Diceros bicornis minor: one gene and its partner. The protein of the gene in region 2 purifies or fractionates together with the protein of the main gene of each other region. This does not show direct contact. Links are inferred from orthologs where the notes say so. Each region holds a gene or a part of one and is shown on either strand. Other genes may lie near its edges.

The links. The genes of interacting proteins can lie anywhere in the genome.
Region 1: the proteins of PRPF4 (region 2) and GPHN purify together in Homo sapiens (affinity purification with mass spectrometry; 3 studies listed by BioGRID and IntAct, counting the BioPlex papers as one, with this or other methods). This does not show direct contact. The link is inferred for Diceros bicornis minor from reciprocal best matches to the Homo sapiens genes PRPF4 and GPHN.

The regions. Positions count from the first base shown.
Region 1 is NC_080763.1:15,244,358-15,254,314, reverse strand, and holds the start of GPHN (gephyrin), read right to left. Parts: upstream 4,987-9,957; 5' UTR 4,525-4,986; coding exon 4,461-4,524; intron 1-4,460. UniProt on the Homo sapiens protein: Microtubule-associated protein involved in membrane protein-cytoskeleton interactions. It is thought to anchor the inhibitory glycine receptor (GLYR) to subsynaptic microtubules.
Region 2 is NC_080767.1:21,523,399-21,533,341, forward strand, and holds the start of PRPF4 (U4/U6 small nuclear ribonucleoprotein Prp4), read left to right. Parts: upstream 1-5,154; 5' UTR 5,155-5,235; coding exon 5,236-5,283; intron 5,284-5,308; exon of another isoform or gene 5,309-5,378; coding exon of another isoform or gene 5,379-5,405; intron 5,406-6,134; coding exon 6,135-6,315; intron 6,316-8,013; coding exon 8,014-8,200; intron 8,201-9,943. Other genes in the region: anaphase-promoting complex subunit CDC26, read right to left, coding at 2,281-2,361. UniProt on the Homo sapiens protein: Plays a role in pre-mRNA splicing as component of the U4/U6-U5 tri-snRNP complex that is involved in spliceosome assembly, and as component of the precatalytic spliceosome (spliceosome B complex).

The sequences.
Region 1 (9,957 bases), on a different chromosome or scaffold from region 2:
CTTTTTAACCATAGTCATGTAGATCAATATTGGTATGTTTGCCAGAACACACAATTCCATTTGGTAAGATTTAGGTTTTGTTTGCAACAGTGATTTGCCTGCTTAATGACAAAATCTCAAGATAAAGATATATTTATATATCCTTATCAATAAATGGGCTTTTCAGAAAATAATATTGACAGTTATAATGTACAAGAATAAGGTTGAGGAATGAAAAAAGTAAATGCTTGAACAATTCCAGAGTTACAGGATTATCATCTCCTTGGCTTAGAACTTTGGTTTTTTAATATTTTGAATCACTTTACTTATGAATGACTGAAATACTCCCCACACGTAACTAATATTTTGATATTCTAACTTACAATTAGTCTTTTATCTCTATTATCTAGTCTTATATTTGTTCTAATATCTCTTGCTGATTACAAATTTACAACTTAGTGCAACAAAAATGTATATTACTAGAGCAAAAATATAATTTGAAAATGCCCTTTCCTAAAAATTTGCATCTTTTTCTCATCCGTGCCACTGTTAGTGAAAATTTAGGTAACGGATTATCATCTTTAGCTAAGTGCTTCGGTACCAAACATTAGCAGTGGCTAACTAATACACTGTTAAATAGCCAATGGAACATAATCTATCTCATTCTATATTACATACATACATGTATTCATTATTTGCCTGATGTTTCCGTGGAGCTTTTATAGCGGTAGAACTAGTGTGCTCCTCTGATAAACAGCTTCTTTAGAAATAGAAAAAAGTAGGTGACAATTGACACATCTGAAATATAGTGAGCCTGCTATGTAATTGTTAAGATATTCTAGTATAATTACTACTGAAGTATAATTACTACTGAAGCTGTCAAAGAAAAAAAAATCCTACATCTACCCCACATCTTGTTTCTAGTTTCAAAGCAGCACATACTTGTTTATTTGCCTCATGGTATTCATCATCACATTATCTTTAGTTTCTGTTATAAATAGCAATAGAAGTAGAGAACATTAAAAAAAAGTATATTAAAAACTAGATCTCAGGTCACCAAAAACGATATAACCTTCACTTCTAGCAAATAAACATAAGATAGTTACTAATAAAGATATTGTTGTCAGAGATGGACAATAATCTCCAACATAAAATGTTTCCATGATAATCTATTTTTATATTTGTAACTGTTCCCTATTTTCCTGATAAAAAATAATTAGTATAACTAAAATATCCATGTTACATTATCATAATCTGATTTCCAAGTCTTAAATGATTCAAGATAGTCAAGCACAAAAGAAACGCCATTACTAAATATTTTCCTTTCTACCATTATTCTTTCAAAATTCTAATAATTCACTTGATGAGAAGTTTCAATAGACTGTATACTATATTTGCCAAATTCATAGCTGAGATGAGGATTACAAAAACATCTAGAAGATGAAAAGTTTCAAAGTATAAATATTCTCTTTCAACAAATAATAAAAAATGTCAAAAAGAAGTCAATTAAAGACTTTATAAATGACAATACAATTTCACCACACTACTAACACAATGTAAAATGTGTGCATGGGTAGACACTACTTTCCACTACCTCTGTAAAAGAGATTTAGATAAAATACTTAAAATCACTATTATGAAGCACACAGAGGATATTTCATAAAACAAGCCCTTCACCTTTAAGAGAGCCACAAATTATAACTCATAAAATCAGTTTTAAGTGTGGCCTCAACTCAATTTTCTTAAGTATGAAATCATAGTACTTAAATTCAGTAAAGAATAATTTTACATAATAAAACTGCACCACCTGAAGTTCTACAAGACACAAAATTGCACAACATAGCTTCATTTTTGTAGGAGTTTTTTTCCCACAAAATCACATGGAATGTCAAGACCACAAATATTAAGCTGTTTGTAGTAAAATCCACTATTTGCAGACTGAAGGCTGGTGCTCTCTCCTCTGATTCTTCTCCATGTTTCCAGCCTCCACCATAGCAGACAATATTTATATCAATAACTTTTCAAGTAAAAACCTCAGAGTTATTTCTGAGTTCAAATATCCATTTTATCATCAAATCGTATTGTCCTGTTACCATTTCTCCCAAACCTGCAACTTCCTTTTCATTCCTTCAGCTACATCCTTATTACTGACCCTAGACTTTTACCACTAAACTATTGTACCTCATTCTTATGAGATAATTCTCAAAATTATCTTTAATTCCACTGCCAAAGTTATCTTCTGTCCTTGACATTTTGCCTCTGCCACCTATCTCACCTCAGCTTTTCAAGGCCGTTGCACTACATTTTTATTCTCCTCAAGAGCCTTATCCTTACCAACATATTCATTTATAAGGTTGCCGCTGACTTTCACCTTGCCTTAAAAATGCCAGTTTCTTTACACTTCTGGTAAATATACTAATTCTCTCTTCAGGTAACACCTTTGCTCCTAATCCATCTGAATATGGAATTCCTTTTACATTTAGCCCCCAAACACAAGAGTATTTATTCAGACAGTTTTAGCACAATAATTACCTACATTATTTCTTTAGCTGTTTGCATATCCATGTTATCCCTCTTGGACTGTAGGGATACAGATAAGGGCTGCATCTTTAAAAGCATTCTGTACAACACCTATCTACTAAGTCACTTGACCCAGGTAAGATGATTCACTAAATGAAGCTATTAGGAAAAGCTTAAATAAACAAAAAATAAATATGTTTTTTTAAAAAAAATCTCTATGGTTTAACTTTAAAACATCTATGACCTTCCATTTCCATGGACAGCTGCCATACTTTGGCTTCTACTAAGCTTCACTCTTACTACTCTATTAATTTTCAAAGCACTAGAATTTAAAGTGTAAGTTGATGGTTGATATAACGTATACACTTTTACACCTCGCGATTAGATTCTTTGAAAATCAGCAATGTCAACTCTAAGAATTCTGAGATATAACTCAATCTTCGCACAAGGCAACTGTTTCAGCACCAAGAGGAGAAAACAGCGCATCTTCTGATTTGGGGGTTCCCTTCCCTGCAACTGGTTTAGACTAGTTTCTGTATCCCAGGGGCTGTCGATTAGGAAAACTCAATAAATCACCATTAACATCTGAAAAGAATACCAGAGAAAGGCAATCCGTTTACTTAAAAGAGAGGAAGGGGTATCTCCACGGATATCTCCTTTTCACAAAACTCGGCAGCCAATTTAGGCTTTGCATTCAGTAACTACCGACAGAGATTTTTTTCTACCTAATAAAAGCAAGTCTCTTTCAATTTAGTCCCTTCTCGAGCACCGTCTCAACCTGTCAGAATTTGACAAGGGGAAAAAAATTAAACAGAAGTGGTGGGGGGAGACACTAGGATTCCCGTCTACATCGCTTCTTTTTCCGAAATCACATCAGTTAAGTCCTGGATTTCCTTCTCTTCGAACTAAGCCCTCAGATGCCAAATATAGTTCCTTAACCCCTGCCTCGCCACTCAATTACACATAAACCTTGCCAACTACAGAACCACAGCAGAAACCCCTACAAATCGGCTGGCTATTCATCTCGGAAGTCATGCCCTGCAGCGACTGCCTATCGCCGAACTGAGAGATATTACCCAAATACAACGCCAGGGAATCAGACATGCAGAGCACACACGGCGTCCGCGAGGGAGGGAAACGCGACCCGGGAAAAGTGCGCTCCTCGCAAACCTCGGGACCATCCAGAGGGGGGGTTCCCAAAAGGGAGGGGGACAGAGGAGCCCGAGTCGGGGAATCCTTCCCTCTCAAGTAAAAAAGGCCGGATCCCTGGCCGCAGGCTGCAGCCCGTCGCTCTAAGGAAAGGAAGGGGCGGGCAGAGGGCCCTTTGCTCGCGAAGGCGGACGGCAGACACTTTCCGAGGTCCGGGTGTAAGCCGAGCCCCCACCTCCCGGGGGAGACGACGGGTGTCCCATGGGTGGCTAAGGGGAAGCCTGGCTCGCGAGGGGCAGCCGGAGGCGGAGCAGAGTTTCGCCGGATGAACCCCCGTGTCGTGTCCGGCCGGTGCCCCGGGCATGCATAGCGAGAGGGCCGCCCGGGTGTGGGGAGGGGAGGGAGGGTGGAAATGGGATTCCCCCCTCTCTCGGAAGAGTACTAGTCGAGGAAGCGCGGGCCCGCCGAGAGTCCAGTGCTTCAGACTGCGGAGCCGGGATCCCGCCGCCTGCGCCGGCAGCAGGAGCCCCGCAGCGCCAGCCGCACCGGCCCCTCGGTCCCCCGGGGCCAGGGACTTTGGCTGCGAAGGAACTGGGGCCTGACATCCCACGGGGCCGGCCCCAGCTCCCGGGGGGCCCCGCGGGAACACCCCAACCTCCAGCAGCTGTCGGCAGTTGTAAAACGCCCTCCCCCGTCCCCCTCGTCAGCCTTCCCTCCTCCCGGGGCCGCAGAGAAGGGTCACCACAGGCGAGAAGCCGGAGGCAAGTCGGGGACAGCGGCCGCGGCGGTCCCGGATCTCCTCCCCCGGTTACCTGTGAGGACTCCGACGCGGATTTGATGGTCGTGGTTAGTGAGGATCATTCCCTCGGTCGCCATGTTTCCCAGCGCAGTCACCGCACTGACAGGAACCGGGAGAAGCTGGAGCACGGAGCGCGCGGGCCGGGAGCGCGCTCGCCTCGGAGAGCGCGAGAGCGAGAGCGCCCGGGGAGCGGGAAAGGAGGGGTGGGGGGCGGCCGAGCGCGCGGCGGCCTGAGCCGGGAGAGGCCGGGCCCGGAGTGCGCGAGTCCGCGGGAGGGGGCGGAGTCAGGGCGCGCGACCCCGAGCCCGGGTCGGAGGCGGAGAGCTGCGAGTAGTGGACGCGGTGGCCTCCCCAGGAGGCGCGCGGAGGCGTCCGAGCGAGGCCGGAGAGGCGCTGGCCGCTCTGCGGAGCGGGAGACCCAGGGCAGCTAGATGGCTGGAGACCGAGGGGAAAGGAGAGCACACGCTCTGGAGGTTGCGGGGGCGGACTCGAGAAAGGGCGGAGCCACAGCGCGAGGCGTGGAACTCGTGGAGAGTGAGGGGAGGAGTGCTAGCTCGTTTGCGGAGTACTGGCAGCGCGAAGGAGCCCGCCCAGCCCGGGGAGGAGCGGAGAACGCTCCTGGGCGCGCGGGTAGCTCCGGATTGGCCGGAAGAACGCGGAGCGGGTGCGCGCGAGACACGAACGCAGCCTCCGCCGCGGCCCAGACAGAAGCAATCCCCTGCCGAGCCGGGCTCCTCGTCGGTTGTCGGCGCCCTGGGCCGGCTCTGGAGGCCGCCGAGCCGCTCTCCCGAGGGAACGAGAGGTGGGCTCAGCGTGCGACGCCTTTCCTCGCAGCCGTCGGGAGCGGCCGGCCGACCCCCTGAAGCCGCCAGAGAACCTGGAGGTAGCTTAGAAAGCTGTCTGGATGGCCGAACCGCGGATACTATGACAGAGAGCCGGCGTGGGCGAAGAAGGAAGTCTGTCCCGCCTCATCTTCCCGCTTGTTTCTTCAGTCGGCTCGCCCTGCCGCAGGATTTCCGCCTCTCCGGTGCTTCAGGATCCCATCTCCAAGTCTGCACCTGCGTGACCATCCTCACAAGGGAAGCTTAGGAGTCTGCGGCACAGCATCTTGAGTGGAGATACCTGGTTTCTTTTCCTCCCGCTGTCCCGTGATTTTGTGGCCTTAAGCGTCATCGCCACGGTCTCTGCTTTTAGATGAAAAGCACCAGTCTTGGAGAATAAGAACGTGTTCCTCCCACCTGAACCACAATCACAAAATTGGAACCTAGGCCGTGGCAATTGAGTTTCATTTCAGTATTTGTGGGATATGAGACGACCATGAAAATAGCTTTGTTGCCACTTATTTTCATGTGTCTTTCATAAAATGTTATTAATCACCTGTGGCTATTTCACATCGGTTTCGTAGTTCCCGTCTTCCTAGCTCTTTCAACTTCTGAATAAAAATTACATACACGCATATGTATATTTTTTCCCTCATGTTCTCAACCATGTTAAAACCTGGGAAGCATAAAAATGAAAGCAAAGTGTCAAAAAATGTATAATCAACGTTTGTATGCAGCTAAAATCTCAGTCAATTTGGTGATTATGAGTTTTTTGTTGTTCCAGTTGGAACATGAGCGTATCCTCTAACTGAAGATTTAGATTGTGATGTATTTCATTTTAAATAATGGGAGTATAAAGGGGATGATTAGTGGATTGACGAGGGGTAAAATAAATTAGTAAAAATTTTTTTGAGTATGTGTATTGCTAGTATTTTTGACAGTGGATTAAAAATCGAAGCCAGATCTTGAACCCACTTCCTATAATAATCTATAACCATACAGCCTGGTGGCTAAGGGATTCTTAACTACTTTCAAATGAGAGATATATATGTGGAAGTATGTCCAACAGAATGGTTTCCTTAATCTCAAACTGAAGACGATGAACAAGTAGTTGGTTACGTTGTTACCTTTCTAACCTATCTTTATTCTCTACAGCACCCTCTGATTTGAAATGATTAGAAAATATCTTGAATTTTTAGAGAGAGAAATTCTAAAGCTGCTCACTAACAGGTCCTGTGACCTTAAACAAGTTTGGACCTTTTTCTTCATCTTTTAAACAAGGTAGTGGACTAAATAAGCACCCCTTAAGTAAAGTGGTAGAGAAAATAAGCACCCTTCAACTTAGAATACTATTCTGCAAATATTCATGGAAAGAAGCTGGCACTTCTATTTCACAAATAAATATAGAAGACAAGGGACTAACTTTCTGCATCTATGAAAATAGTAATGGTGAAATTCATTAAAATTTAATTAGGAAAGGTGAATATGAATTAAGCCTTCTAGCGTACGATATATGGAGGTTTGTTTGCTGAACTACTAAAATTGCTGAAAAAAGTAATATTAATAGAACTAAGCTGGAGAATTATAATAGCTGCTTGTCTTCCAACAATTTTTCTCAAGTATATTCATCTCTGCCAAATTTAGCATGGCGTAACAAAATTTACACAGGAAAAACCCAGTGCCCTTACTATCTAGTATGACCTTCTTTTACTCCTGGTTATTGAATGAATATTGCGGTATGCACATGCTCTTTTATCCCTGTTACAGTGCAACATTTCTTCAAAATTCATCCTGAAATCAAATATTAAAATTTTCTGGAAGGTAGAAAAAGAGTAGCATTTCCAAATATTGACATGTATCAGGAAATATGTTGTGAAGGGGGAAAACCAGAGGTAAAAAAGTTGAAAGTTTGTATGGGAAAAATTAGAAGTGCCCAGGGCTTTATTCTCTCCATTCTTAAGGTTTTAATAATGAAAACTATAGGAGTTTACATTAACTGAAAATTAACATAAAAGATAGGTAAACATCTGGCTTTCATAATGATTTTCCTTATGAAGATGAAACTATCAGTAGAAATGAATTACTGAATGAATGAAGGTTGAATTTTTTCCAGTAGTGTATATACACAACTCTACTGGTACTTGAGTTTTTCTGTGGTTAATCACAATTTCAATATAAATAAGGTTCAAGTTTACTAGGCTTTTCTGGGGTCAGACTCTCCTCATTAGCACTAGATGAGCAAGAATGAATTTGGTAACAGATTATTCTTCCTCTAAGGCATATTCCGCTCTTTCCTCTTTCCTGATTGGCTAATGGCCCAAACTAAAACTAAGGCAATTAAAAATGGGTGCAAGCAACATTTTGAATAAATGTCACTGAGTTGTACACTTTAAAATGGTTAATTTTACGGGCCGGCCCCGTGGCTTAGCGGTTAAGTGCTCGCACTCCGCTGCTGGCAACCCAGGTTTGGATCCCGAGTGCGCACCGATGCACCGCTTCTCCAGCCATGCTGAGGCCATGTCCCACATGCAGCAACTAGAAGGATGTGCAGCTATGACATACAACTATCTACTGGGGCTTTGGGGGAAAAAATAAATAAATAAAATTATTTTTAAAATGGTTAATTTTATGTGTATTTAGCACAATAAAAAAAAAATGGGTGCAAGGTGAAGCTCTGGTTGATTTTAACCTGTTTTTCCCCAAAGGAAGCTAGATTATAGTGAAGATGAATTTTAGACTGGCTGAATCAGAGAGTGTATTAGTTCCTAGGGCTGCTGTAACTAAGTACCACAAACTGAGTGGCTTAAAACAACAGAAATTTATTCTCTCACAGTTCTGGAAGCTAGAAGTCTGAAATCAAGCTGTCAGTAAAGCCATACTCCCTCTGAAGGCTCTAGGGAAGAATTCTTCATTGCCTCTTTCCAGCCTCTGGTGGTTGCCAGCAATCCCTGGCCTTCCTTGGCTTGTGGCTGCATCCCTCCCATCTTGGTCTCTGTCTTCACATGTCTTTCTTCCCTGTGTGTATCTTGCCCTTCTTATAAGGATACCAGTCATTGGATTTAAGGCCCACTGTAATCCAGTATGACCCAATTTTAACTAGTTACATCTACAAAGACTCTATTTCCAAATAAGGTCATATTCTGAAGTTCTGTGTAGATGTGAAACTTGGAGGGACACTATTCAACCCAGTACAGGCAGTGATAGATTACATTACTGTGTATTCTCATGAAAACATATAAATTAGAAATTCAACCTATCAGAAAAGAAGGTTCAAAGCTTTCTTTAAAAGCTAGGATTTAGAAATTAGACATACTCTTGGAGGAAGTACAGATGTATAGAATAGAGAATATGGGTAAATTTTTAATATTTGACCTAAGTAGCCTAATGCTTTTCCCCCAGAAATAGTTTTCTAAATTAGAGTTTTCCCAAGTCTGATGAGATAAATTTACTCATTCCTACTAATGAAATTGACATTTTGCTTTCAGTTCTGATGCCTTTGTTATCTTTTAGGGAAGAGAGGCTGAACCACCTCAATTGCTCATGGAGTTTGATGGAACTTATTTGGGAACAACTAGGATAATGTTTTTCAATGTCTGCCATGTTTATTAAAATAAAGTTGAACTTTTCCTTGTACTTTTGCTATTAAATTTCTGCTGCCCAGATTGCTGCTTGAAAAATTGTTTTGTGCCCTGGTCTTTTGTATTTTTCCCAACTTTACTCTCTTTCTCTGAGGTCCCAACTGGAAATTCAGATGTACAAGAACGTTTTTGGTTGCAAATGACTGATCCTAGTATAAGCCAAAACGAATTCATTGGCTCATGCAGGTAGGAAGTCTAGATATGTGTATTGCTTCAGGATGTGGCTAGATTCAAGATCTGAAACTATGTCATCAAGATGCCATCTTTCAGCTATGTTTTCTTCTTTGTTGATTTAATTTTCACATTGGCTCTTCCTACATTGTGGCAAAGATGGTATTGGCTTCTCTAGGCTATAATTTAGATCAATAGTTTTTGAGTCAGTCTGGGAATACCTGGAGACCCAAAGACCCTTTCAGAGGTTCTGCAAGGTCAAAAATGTTTTCATACTAATATTAAGGCATTATTTGTCTTTCCACTCTCATTTTCTCATTAGACACAGTGAAATTTTCCAGAGGCTACATGATGTGTAATGATATCATCACTCTGATAGCTAATGGAATGTGTATTTGTATAGTTTTATATTTTAAAAAATTAGCATAGTAAATATGAATAGATATAATAGATATAAGCTATATTTTTAAGGGTGCAAAGAGGTCCTGAGACCAATATCTTGAGAACCATAGATTTAGATCATGTCCCTATCCCCAAAGGCAAGGGGAAAGGCATTCTCTGATTGGTTAGATTTCGGTCATGTACTCACCCAGAGAATGGGCATCAGGTGCACCCCTACCAAACGGACTAAGATCAAGGAAGGATGGATCTAGGTACTGTATGTAAGGCTAGTGCCTTGACACATTAGCAGTTAGTTCAACTCTTCTTACAGACTCCTATGGCTCTCCACCATTACTATAGATTTTGTTCTTTTCTAAGGGCTCTAATTTATACCTTTAGTACTACTTGCATGTTAATAAAGAAACTGGGAACAAAAAATTTTGATTTCTAAAGAAAGCATTGGTTTTTCTCCCTTCTTAATTCAAAGAAAGTGTAGACT
Region 2 (9,943 bases):
CAAATAGTTAAAACAGAGTGATAGTGCCTACGAGAGAGGTCAGCACAGGAGGAAGAGGTTGAACCTAACCCAGCGGGGGACAGGTAGACTAGGAAGACTTCTGGCTGGAAGGAGCTGAGTCAAAAGATGAGGTGTTAGGCAGGCAAAGAAAGAGAAAGGGCATTTCAGGCAAAAGGAACAGAATGTGCAGAGGCACTGAGATTCAAGTTAAAGATAATGCAGCAGCGGGAGATAAAGTGGAGTAATGAGCAAGGACCAGGTCATAAAGGGCGTTGCGTGCCTAAGGAATCTGGACCTTATTCTGAAGGCCACTAAAGAATTTAAGCCTTATTAATGGACATCTAATACTGTGGGGTTAGGTTACACTTTAAAATACATACTGAGGGGGCCGGCCCTGTGGCCTAGTGGTTAAGTTCGGTGCACTCTGCTTCGGCACCCTGGGTTCGGTCCCCGGGCACGGACCTATACCACTCGTCAGTGGCCATGCTGTGGCAGCAACCCACACACAAAACAGAGGCAGACTGGCACATATGTTAGCTCAGGGTGAATCTTCCTCAAGCAAAAAGAGGAAGATTGGTCAGGGCCGGCCTGGTGGCATAGCAGTTAAGTTTGCACACTCCATTTGAGCAGCCTGGGGTTCACAGGTTCGGATGCTGGGCACGGACCTACACATCACTTGTCAAGCCATGCTGTGGTGGCGTCCCATATAAAGTAGAGGAAGATGGGCACGGATGTTAGCCCAGGGCCAATCTTCCTCAGCAAAAAAGAGGAGGATTGGCAACAGATGTTAGCTCAGGGCTAATCTTCCTCAGGAAAAAAAAAACATATCAAGCTCCTACTATTTACAAGATGCTGGGAACTAAGTGGTAAAGAAGACAGACATGATTTCCACCATCAAGGTTCCTAATGTAATTGGTTTTACAATAAACAAACAAATCATTGTAAATTATAATAAATGCCATGAAATAAAAGAATAAAGTGCTGTGAGAGACCCTAATGAGATGGAGGCAGCATGGATAGGATTGATACAGCTAACTAAGATAGGCTCAGAAGAGGCCTGTCAGACTAAGGAAATGACATTTAAACTGAGACATGAAGAGAGGGGGAGCACTAAAGGCAGAAGGAAATAATATGTGCAGAGGCCACAGGTAATGAATAGTTTGGCATCTTGAAGGAAATGAAAGCAAGCCAGTGTGCCTGGGGTACAGAGGGCAAGGCAGAGTGGCAGGAGGTGAAACCTGAGAAGGGCCGGAACAAACACATCTTGTAGGCCATGATAAGGAATTCAGATTTTATTCTAAGTGCAGAAAACCACTGAAGAGTTTTAAGGAGAGGGATGACATGATCTGAAAATTTTTAAAGATCATTCTAGATACCTGATGGAGAATGGATTGAAGAGACAAAAATGGAAGCAGAAAGACCATTTTTAGGATGCTACTGAAATTGTACAGAGAGATGATGGTTACTTGGACTAGGGTTGTGCAGTGGAGATGAAAACATGGGTAAATTCTGGAAATATTCTGGAGGTAAAATCAAAGATTTATGGACAGATTGAATACAAAGGGGGAGGAAAAGGGGGACTCAGGTTTCTGGCTTGAGCAACTGCCCAGAGACTGAGATGGGGAACACTGAGGTGAAACTGGTTTGAGGAAGAAATCAAAGAGTTTTTTGTTTTAACATGTTAAGTGTAGTAGGCTGAATAATGACCCCCAAAGCTATCAGGTCCTAAGCCCTGGAACCTGAAAATGTTGCCTTATATGGGAAAAGGGACTATACACATGTGATTAAATTAGGGATCTTGAGGTGGGGGCGTTATCCTGGATTATCTGTGTGGGCCCTAAATGCCATTACATATATCCTTATTAGAGGGGCAGTGGGACACAGACAGAGGAGAAGGCAATGTGATCAGGGAGGCAGAGATTGGAGTGATGCAGCCACGAGTCAAGGAATGCTAGCGGCCACCAGAAGCTAGAAGGGTCGAGGAACGGATTCTCCCCTAGAGACTGCAGGGAGCACAGTCCTGCTGACACCTTGATTTTGGACCAGTGATACTGATTTCACATTTCCGGCCTACAGAACTGTGAAAGAATAAATTTCTGTTGTTTGAAACCACCAAGTGTGTAGTAATTTGTTACGGCAGCCACAGGAAACTAATACATTAAGTTTGAGAGGCTGTAAAGCGTCCAAATAGAGATTTCAAATAAGCTGCTGGTACAAGAGTCTGGAGTTCAAAAGTTGGAGTTTTAAATATTCCTAAGGGTTTGAAAGTTGTGCTCTTACCTCCAGGTCCTTTCGAATGCTCTCAAACTCCTCAATGTCATCAAGCTTCAGCTCCAGGCGGGTTGGTTTTCGTCGCAGCATGTTGAAATCAACATCAAAGGCCAGACCCAGTGAACTATTAGCTGTTAAAAAGGCAGAGAGAAGGAAAAACTGGAGGGGATAAATCTCAGCTGCAAATGTAAGATCAGTTTGTACGCATGCTTGCTAAAATGAATGGCAATAAAAAAGATTCATTTGGGGCCGGCCTGGTGGCGTAGCCCTTGAGTGCGAATGCTCTGCTGCGGCAGCCCGGGGTTCGGACCCGGGCCACACCGACGCACCGCTTGTCAAGCCATGCGGTGGCGGCGTCCCATATAAAGTAGAGGAACATGGGCATGGACATTAGCCCAGGGCCAGTCTTCCTCAGCAAAAAGAGGAGGATTGGCAGATGTTAGCTCAGGGCTGATCTTCCTCACAAAAAAAAAAAAAGATTCATTTGGATTCACACATAGACTTCTAAGACTTTTGGTGTATGATTATTACATTTTTATTACATGATTGAGATCCACAACTTTGTAATTCCAAAAAACTCTTTCTTCAAGAACTTAAAACGCCAAACTACCTATAAAAGAGAATTCTAGGTAACAATCACTTTAATCTCATGCTCCTGTCACATTCAGAGAAATATTCTAGCTAAGAGAATAAAGTTAAAAGATCACATCTTAATTCAGTATAGTCAGTGGGAGAGTATATAAGCCATTAAATTTGATCAACACTACATGAGAATTGTGAGAGATTTGTGATCACCCCCAAATGCTAAAATAAATTTACTAAATCTCACGAAAACTCCCTCTAACTCACCAATTCACAGAGTTGTCCTAAGGATCTAATTAGGTCCTAAATGGATATGTCATTCATTAAACAAACAATTCTTGTGCTCCAGCTACAGAGTTAAAAGGCACAGTCACAGTCAGTGGGGAAAACAAACACATAAACAGAAAATTGCAACACAGTGTAATAAAACTCTGGCAAGGGTAACGCAATGGCACCAAACAGGCACCAATCCAGTCTGGGCTGAGTGTGAGATGGACAGGAATGTGGAGGGCTTCCTGGAAGAGATGATGTCTTAGTTGACTGGTTAAGGACAGACAGAGTAAAGAGATTAAGGGCATTCCAGGCAGAGAGAACAAATACGCAAAGAGGCTCAAGAGAACCCTCCAGAGCTTGAAAACCCTAGGTAATGCTTATGCTAACAAAAAACATTTTTTTGAGAAGAAAATAAAACTCCCCAACTGAGTTTAAAATCTGTGGATTGCATCTTCATATTCTCCACAGCATCCAGTAGAGTGTATCTATAATCACCAGTCAGTAAACGTTTTGTTGAATAAACTGAGATCCAATTAAAGTGAAATGAACTTTTCTTCAGCACTGTGCTATGCTTTTCCATTCCCATTCTTTACATTTTTATTTTAACATAGAAACTGTGACACCAACAAAATTACCCCTATTTTACAGATGACGTCGAAGCTGTTCAGTTTGGTTAATAAATGTCAGCCTCCTATAAAAATTATACATACGTTCCACGGTGAGGATTGATGTAAGATGATTGATGTAACTGACTAATGTAATGAGAATGATGTAAGTGAAAGCTCCTTTAAAGTTTTTACAGACATAAATTATTATTACATGTATCCAGGATGTATCAAGGACTGTGAAATATACAAAGGAAGAAATGTTTCCTTCTCCCACGAAGCTTAGGTGATATTATCAGATAAATACAGGTGATATTATCAACCCAAAACACCAGCACATTACATTTCAAATTGCTTTACATTAAATCAGATAATATCTTGATTCCAGTGTAGGCAAGTGGTAGAGGGAGCCAAAGTTCGAGGGGGGCGGTGGGAGCGGTGGATGCGTAAAAGAAAGAAAAAACTGCTTTGCATTTTAACTCTTCGGCAAACTGTGAAAAATTCTATGAAGCAATATAGAGTAATGGGTACAAGTGCTCTCTAGAGGCAAAAGGGCAGAGGGCAGAGGTTCTAATCCCATCCACCACTTATCACAAACAATTAGCTTCATCCTTCACTGGATTTTAGTTTCTGTAACCGTACTCTGTTGTTGTATGGATTCAATGACGTAATGCAAAGTAAGTTCCAGGAACATAACTTGGCATTTAGTAAACGCTCAATAAATAACAGCCATTATTATTGTAATTGTCCTTGGGCGTAGGGGCGGGGAGGGGCTCTGTCAGCTCGGGAAACACCAACATTTTAAGCATCTCCACCCTCGCCATGGGGGCAAAAGCCTCGTCTTGTTCATCTCTGATGCCCCAGCACGCAGCGGAAGGCAGGGCCATGCAGAGTTGCTTGCGTGCAGATTACCTGACGCCTCACATCCATCATCTCACTCTGAATCTGATACAAAGACTGGGCTGAAGACAAACAACAAAATCAGGCCCTGGCTCCTCCGCCGGGTCTTTATTCTACTTTGGAGCTAGAGTGCTCTTCGAGCTGTTTCTCTCGCCACTGCTCGAATTCATCCAGCTCAGAGGGAGCCCCTGGCAGAGGACTTCCCGACAGCGGAGAACGAGCACAGCTCTCCTTCCGCAGCTCCAGGGCAGCACCCGGGGTCCAGGGTGACGGTTTCCATGGCAACAGGGACCTCCGCTCCAGGATGACGTAAAGCCGCGCGTCGGGCCGGGAGGGACCGCAGGCCCCGGAAGCCCTAGATTCGCTCCCGAGTTCAGCCCGGAGCCGCGCGCCTCGACGCACCTACCTCTTTTCAAGGCTGCTCAGCCCCTTCCCAGAACCTCGGCGCCCACTACGACTCTTCTGCCAGGCCAGCTGGACTACACTTCCCAGACTACTCTCAACCTCTCTCCTCGCAGAACCTCGTCCTCCGCGTGCTTTCCTCGGAGGACTACAAGCCACGCCTCTCGACGCGCCCAGAATCTGTCCTACTACGACTCCCGTCATGCTCCACGCCGCCCACGATGCTGCGCCGGCTGTCGGCCCACTTCCGGTAGGTGACGCAGTTCCGCTTTGCTGGGCGCGCGGTGGACGGTCTGAAACGTAGAGGTCGAGTTTCGCTGGGGCTTCGCGGCTCCAGAGCTCGGCATGGCTTCCTCACGAGCCTCCTCCACGGTACAGAGCTCAGCTCACTCTGGCAGGGAGCGCCGAGGGGTGGGGAGTCCAGCGGGATGGGGCCGTTAGGGAACGGGCTAGGCGGTGGAGGTGTGAGGAGGAGCAGCGTGTTCCCGATCCCTCAGCGCTTTCATGCGCTTTAGCTTATTTGCATCACTCGCTACACCCGCGAACGGTAAATATCTCTTCCCACGGGTCCAAAAACGCAGCTCTGAAAGGGAGGACGTAGTGCCTTGGCCGAGATGTATGTCCGTGTCAGACCTCTTAATTGTAATGAGGCCTTCTTTCTTCCTATCTACAGCCTGACGTCTGAAAACGTTTGAAGTGTATAGACCAGCATCTTTGTAACTTGTTTCCCCCTTACATCGCCTTGGCTATTTCAGTTATCCTTGATATTTCCCCTGTGATGAGCAATAACCCTGGAAGTGTCGTAAAACCGCAGAAGACATTGCACTTCCAACAGAATGAAGTAAACGTGTTTAAAAGCAAACCTTTGATAGGAAAATCACCAAGAGAAATGCACGAGTATCCTCAACTTCTTCCTGTCTGCAAAACTTAAGTGATTGAGAAACACCCCCCTCAATCAGTGAAAACGCATCTTAAGGTGTCCAACTTGTCGTTTCCGTTCGGGAAGAAATAGGACTGACGCTCAGGATGAGCCTCATCCTTTGGGGAAGGCCGGTAAATTGCTAAGGTGAAGCCTTAGGTTAATCCAGGTCTTTGATTTAGCAGGCGACCAAAACTAAGGCACCTGATGACTTAGTCGCTCCTGTTGTGAAGAAGCCACACATCTATTATGGAAGTTTGGAAGAGAAGGAGAGGGAGCGTCTGGCCAAAGGAGAGTCTGGGATTTTGGGAAAAGAAGGACTTAAAGCAGGAATTGAAGCAGGAAATATTAACATAACCTCTGGTAAGATGCAAATTGTGAGTCCATGTTTACCTTTGGTGCTCAACTTTTCTGTAATGAATACCTTCCTAAACTTAGATATCACTAGTTTTATAGTGTCATAAAATTGCAGTTTTAAACTTGCATCTGTGTAAGGTTTTACTTTGCCTACCCCGCTTATCATCATCCAGAACGCCTTTTTCTTAAAACCTTTTATACAGTTTTTCTTCCGTGAATTGTTAGTAATTTTGTCAGGAGTTTATTCAGCGTGTATTTGGCTTCAAAGTGATTCCGTTTGTCTTCTGGAGATCTAGCATAGTTCTGGCATTGGTTTGGAGCTACTGTCGTTCATAATATTCTCCGTTTTTTTAGTTTTGCAATTACTTTTCCCTCAAAATGAAATGTTTTTTAAATTATATAAGTAATAGTTATTTTTATTTTGAAAAATATCAAACAATGTAGAATTGTGAAGTATAAAATCCTGTAATGCTTATTAATTGGGTGTATATCTTTCTGAGAATTTAATAAAGCTATGAAAATGTATAATTTTTTTCCATAAATGAAACCATGATATACAAATAGTTTTGTAACTTGTATTTTATACTCTATGTACTATTGAGGATATCTTTCCATGTCAGTAACTGGTGGCCTACTGTATTTTTAAAATAAAATTATACATGTTTGTCATAAATTCAGACAGTACAGAATGGTATAAAATGAAAAGATTTCTTTGCAGAAAGGATCTCTTTCAGGTTTCTCATTGATCCTCCTACACATTTTCTTTTCTATACACATGCACTTTACAGACATTTTTAACCATTTATGCTGTTTTTAAACATAACTGCATCACCGCTGTTCTTCTCATTTTTCATCCAAATGCTTGTATTTGGTGTGAGTTTTAAAACTAGCTGCTAGAGGGGCCGGCCCCGTGACTTAGCGGTTAAGTGCTCGCGCTCCGCTACTGACGGCCCGCATTCAGATCTCGGGTGCGCACCGACGCACTGCTTGTCCAGCCATGCTGAGGCAGCGTCACACATGCAGCAACTAGAAGGATGTGCAAGTATGACATACAACTGTCTACTGGGGCTTTGGGGAGAAAAAGGGAGAAAAAGGAGGGGGAATGGCGATAGGTGTTAGCTCAGGACCAGTCTTCCTCAGCAAAAAAGAGGAGGATTGGCGTGGATGTTAGCTCAGGGCTGATCTTCCTCACAAAAAAAAAAAAAAAAAACCAGCTGCTAGATTATCCAAAAAGCCTTCGAGTCAAGGAATATCATTTTCATGGTAATTCTTTCTAGTTTACTAGTTTCATTTGTAAGTGTCCCGATACTGGGACTGTTTTAGAGAATAGCTTTGGCAATTGTTAAAACCGCATTTCTATTTTATCTTCTGGATAGAAGAGCCATTTAACTCATTTGCTAAAGATGCTCCGTACTCTTTCTCATCTCATGTAAGCTGTGTGTTTATATGGGTGTAAGGTTGCCAAATCAAACAACATGACTTGAACCATTTTCCTGCCTCTTAAAGCTGTATCATTTAATTTTCTGTGTTTGGCATAATTTAATAAACTGAGAAAGAGTAAACTATATCTATAAAGTGCTTAATAGATTAGACAGTTGACTTTCCCTAGTAGCATACACAGACTCTAATTGTGAGAAATTATTTCTTTTCCTCTATTTGAAGAAGATCTGGTGATTATGCTGATGTTTCCTGTTCTTTTTATAGGAGAAGTGTTTGAAATTGAAGAGCACATCAGTGAGCGACAGGCTGAAGTATTAGCCGAGTTTGAGAGAAGGAAGCGAGCCCGGCAAATCAACGTTTCCACAGATGACTCGGAGGTCAAGGCTTGCCTTCGGGCCTTGGGGGAGCCCATCACGCTTTTCGGAGAGGGTCCTGCTGAAAGAAGAGAAAGGTGCCCTTTCTAGATATTTACTCTTTTCTTTTTTTTTTTTTTTTGTGAGGAAGATCAGCCCTGAGCTAACATCCATGCCAATCCTCCTCTTTTTGCTGAGGAAGACCGGCCCTGAGCTAACACCTATTGCCAATCCTCCTCCTTTTTTTCCCTTTTTCTCCCCAAAGCCCCAGTAGATAGTTGCATGTCATAGTTGCACATCTTTCTAGTTGCTGTATGTGGGGCGCTGCCATAGCACGGCCGGACAAGCGGTGCATCGGTGCGTGCCCGGGATCCGAACCCGGGCCGCCAGCAGCAGAGCGCGCACACCTAACCGCTAAGCCACGGGGCCAGCCCCTACTCTTTTCTTTTTTAACCACAGGGTTCTAGTCCCAAATTTCAGTTGGTAATGTAGCTAAAACTTTAATAGAATGTCTCAGACAATGTTAACAGAATAGTTTAGCCCATAATCTGAGCCTTAAGCCAGTTTTTACTCTGCTACTAATTTGTCTTTATAAACTGTGAAGAAGGCGTTAACATGCTCCTTCCCCTCCCCAGTGTGGAATTTTGAGTTGGGTAAATGTTTGTTGAACTTTGAAAATTTAGACAACAAAGGCATTTCTTGTCAATGACGTAAAACATAGTGAGAAGTGTTTTTTGGATATTGTTGAAAAGGGCACTGTCCTCAGATAACGCTCCTCTTGTGATTTTAAAATTGCAGAATCTCTTTTTTTTTAAAGATTTTATTTATTTATTTTTGTTCCCCCCAAAGCCCCAGTAGATAGTTGTATGTCATAGCTGCACATCCTTCTAGTTGCTGTGTGTGGGACGCGGCCTCAGCATGGCCAGAGAAGCGGTGCGTCGGTGCGCGCCCGGGATCCGAACCTGGGCCGCCAGCAGCGGAGCGCGCACACCCAACCGCTAAGCCACGGGGCCGGGACCTCCAATGTGTCTTCTTTTCTCTGCCTCCATTGCTTTCACATTTAGACTGTTGTAATAGCTCCAAATGTGTTGTCTTGATTGCTTACTTAAAATCCTGCAGTGTCATCGTCTTTTATTTGGAGTAAAAAGCTCCTAATCCTGCTCTTCAGCCTCATCTTGTGCTACTCTTCCCCAGTTTACAAGGCTTAGTAGCCACAGTGGTCCTCCTGGAATGCGCAAGCTTTTTTTCTTTCTACTTAATTTTTCTCCTCTCTTTTGCTTTTAGGGCCTTTTTACTCTTTTGTTCTCAGCATAAATGCCGTCTCTAAGAAGCCTTTCCTAACACCTGACCCCTTGTAAAGTAAGCCCCTCCATTATTCTCTTTCATAGTGTGTTATTTTCTTAGTAACTCTTTCAAAGGGTATGCTTTTATTGTTGTTTATTGTTTATCTTCTCCAACAGCAAAGTTTGTCTTATTATTGTGTCCCTTAGATGAATGTCTTGAATCCCTACTGCCACTATCTTACTTCAGTCCACCATTGAGTCTTGGAGGGTTCCTGCGGTGGTTCACTGTCTTGATTTCCTTGCATTTATTCTTCTCTCTTCAGTCCACTCACCATACTTTTCCAAGGATCTTTCTCAAATGTAAACCCTCCTTAACCATGGCATTAGGAGCTCTCTGTGACCTGGCGCCTACTTACATTTGCAGCCATATCCCTCACCAGCCCTTTTCTCGCGCTCCATGCTCCACCCATCCTGAACTATTTGTGATTCCAAGCTCAACATGCTTTTCTTAACCCCAGACCTTTACATTTGTTAATCCCTCTGCCCCAACTGTCCTTT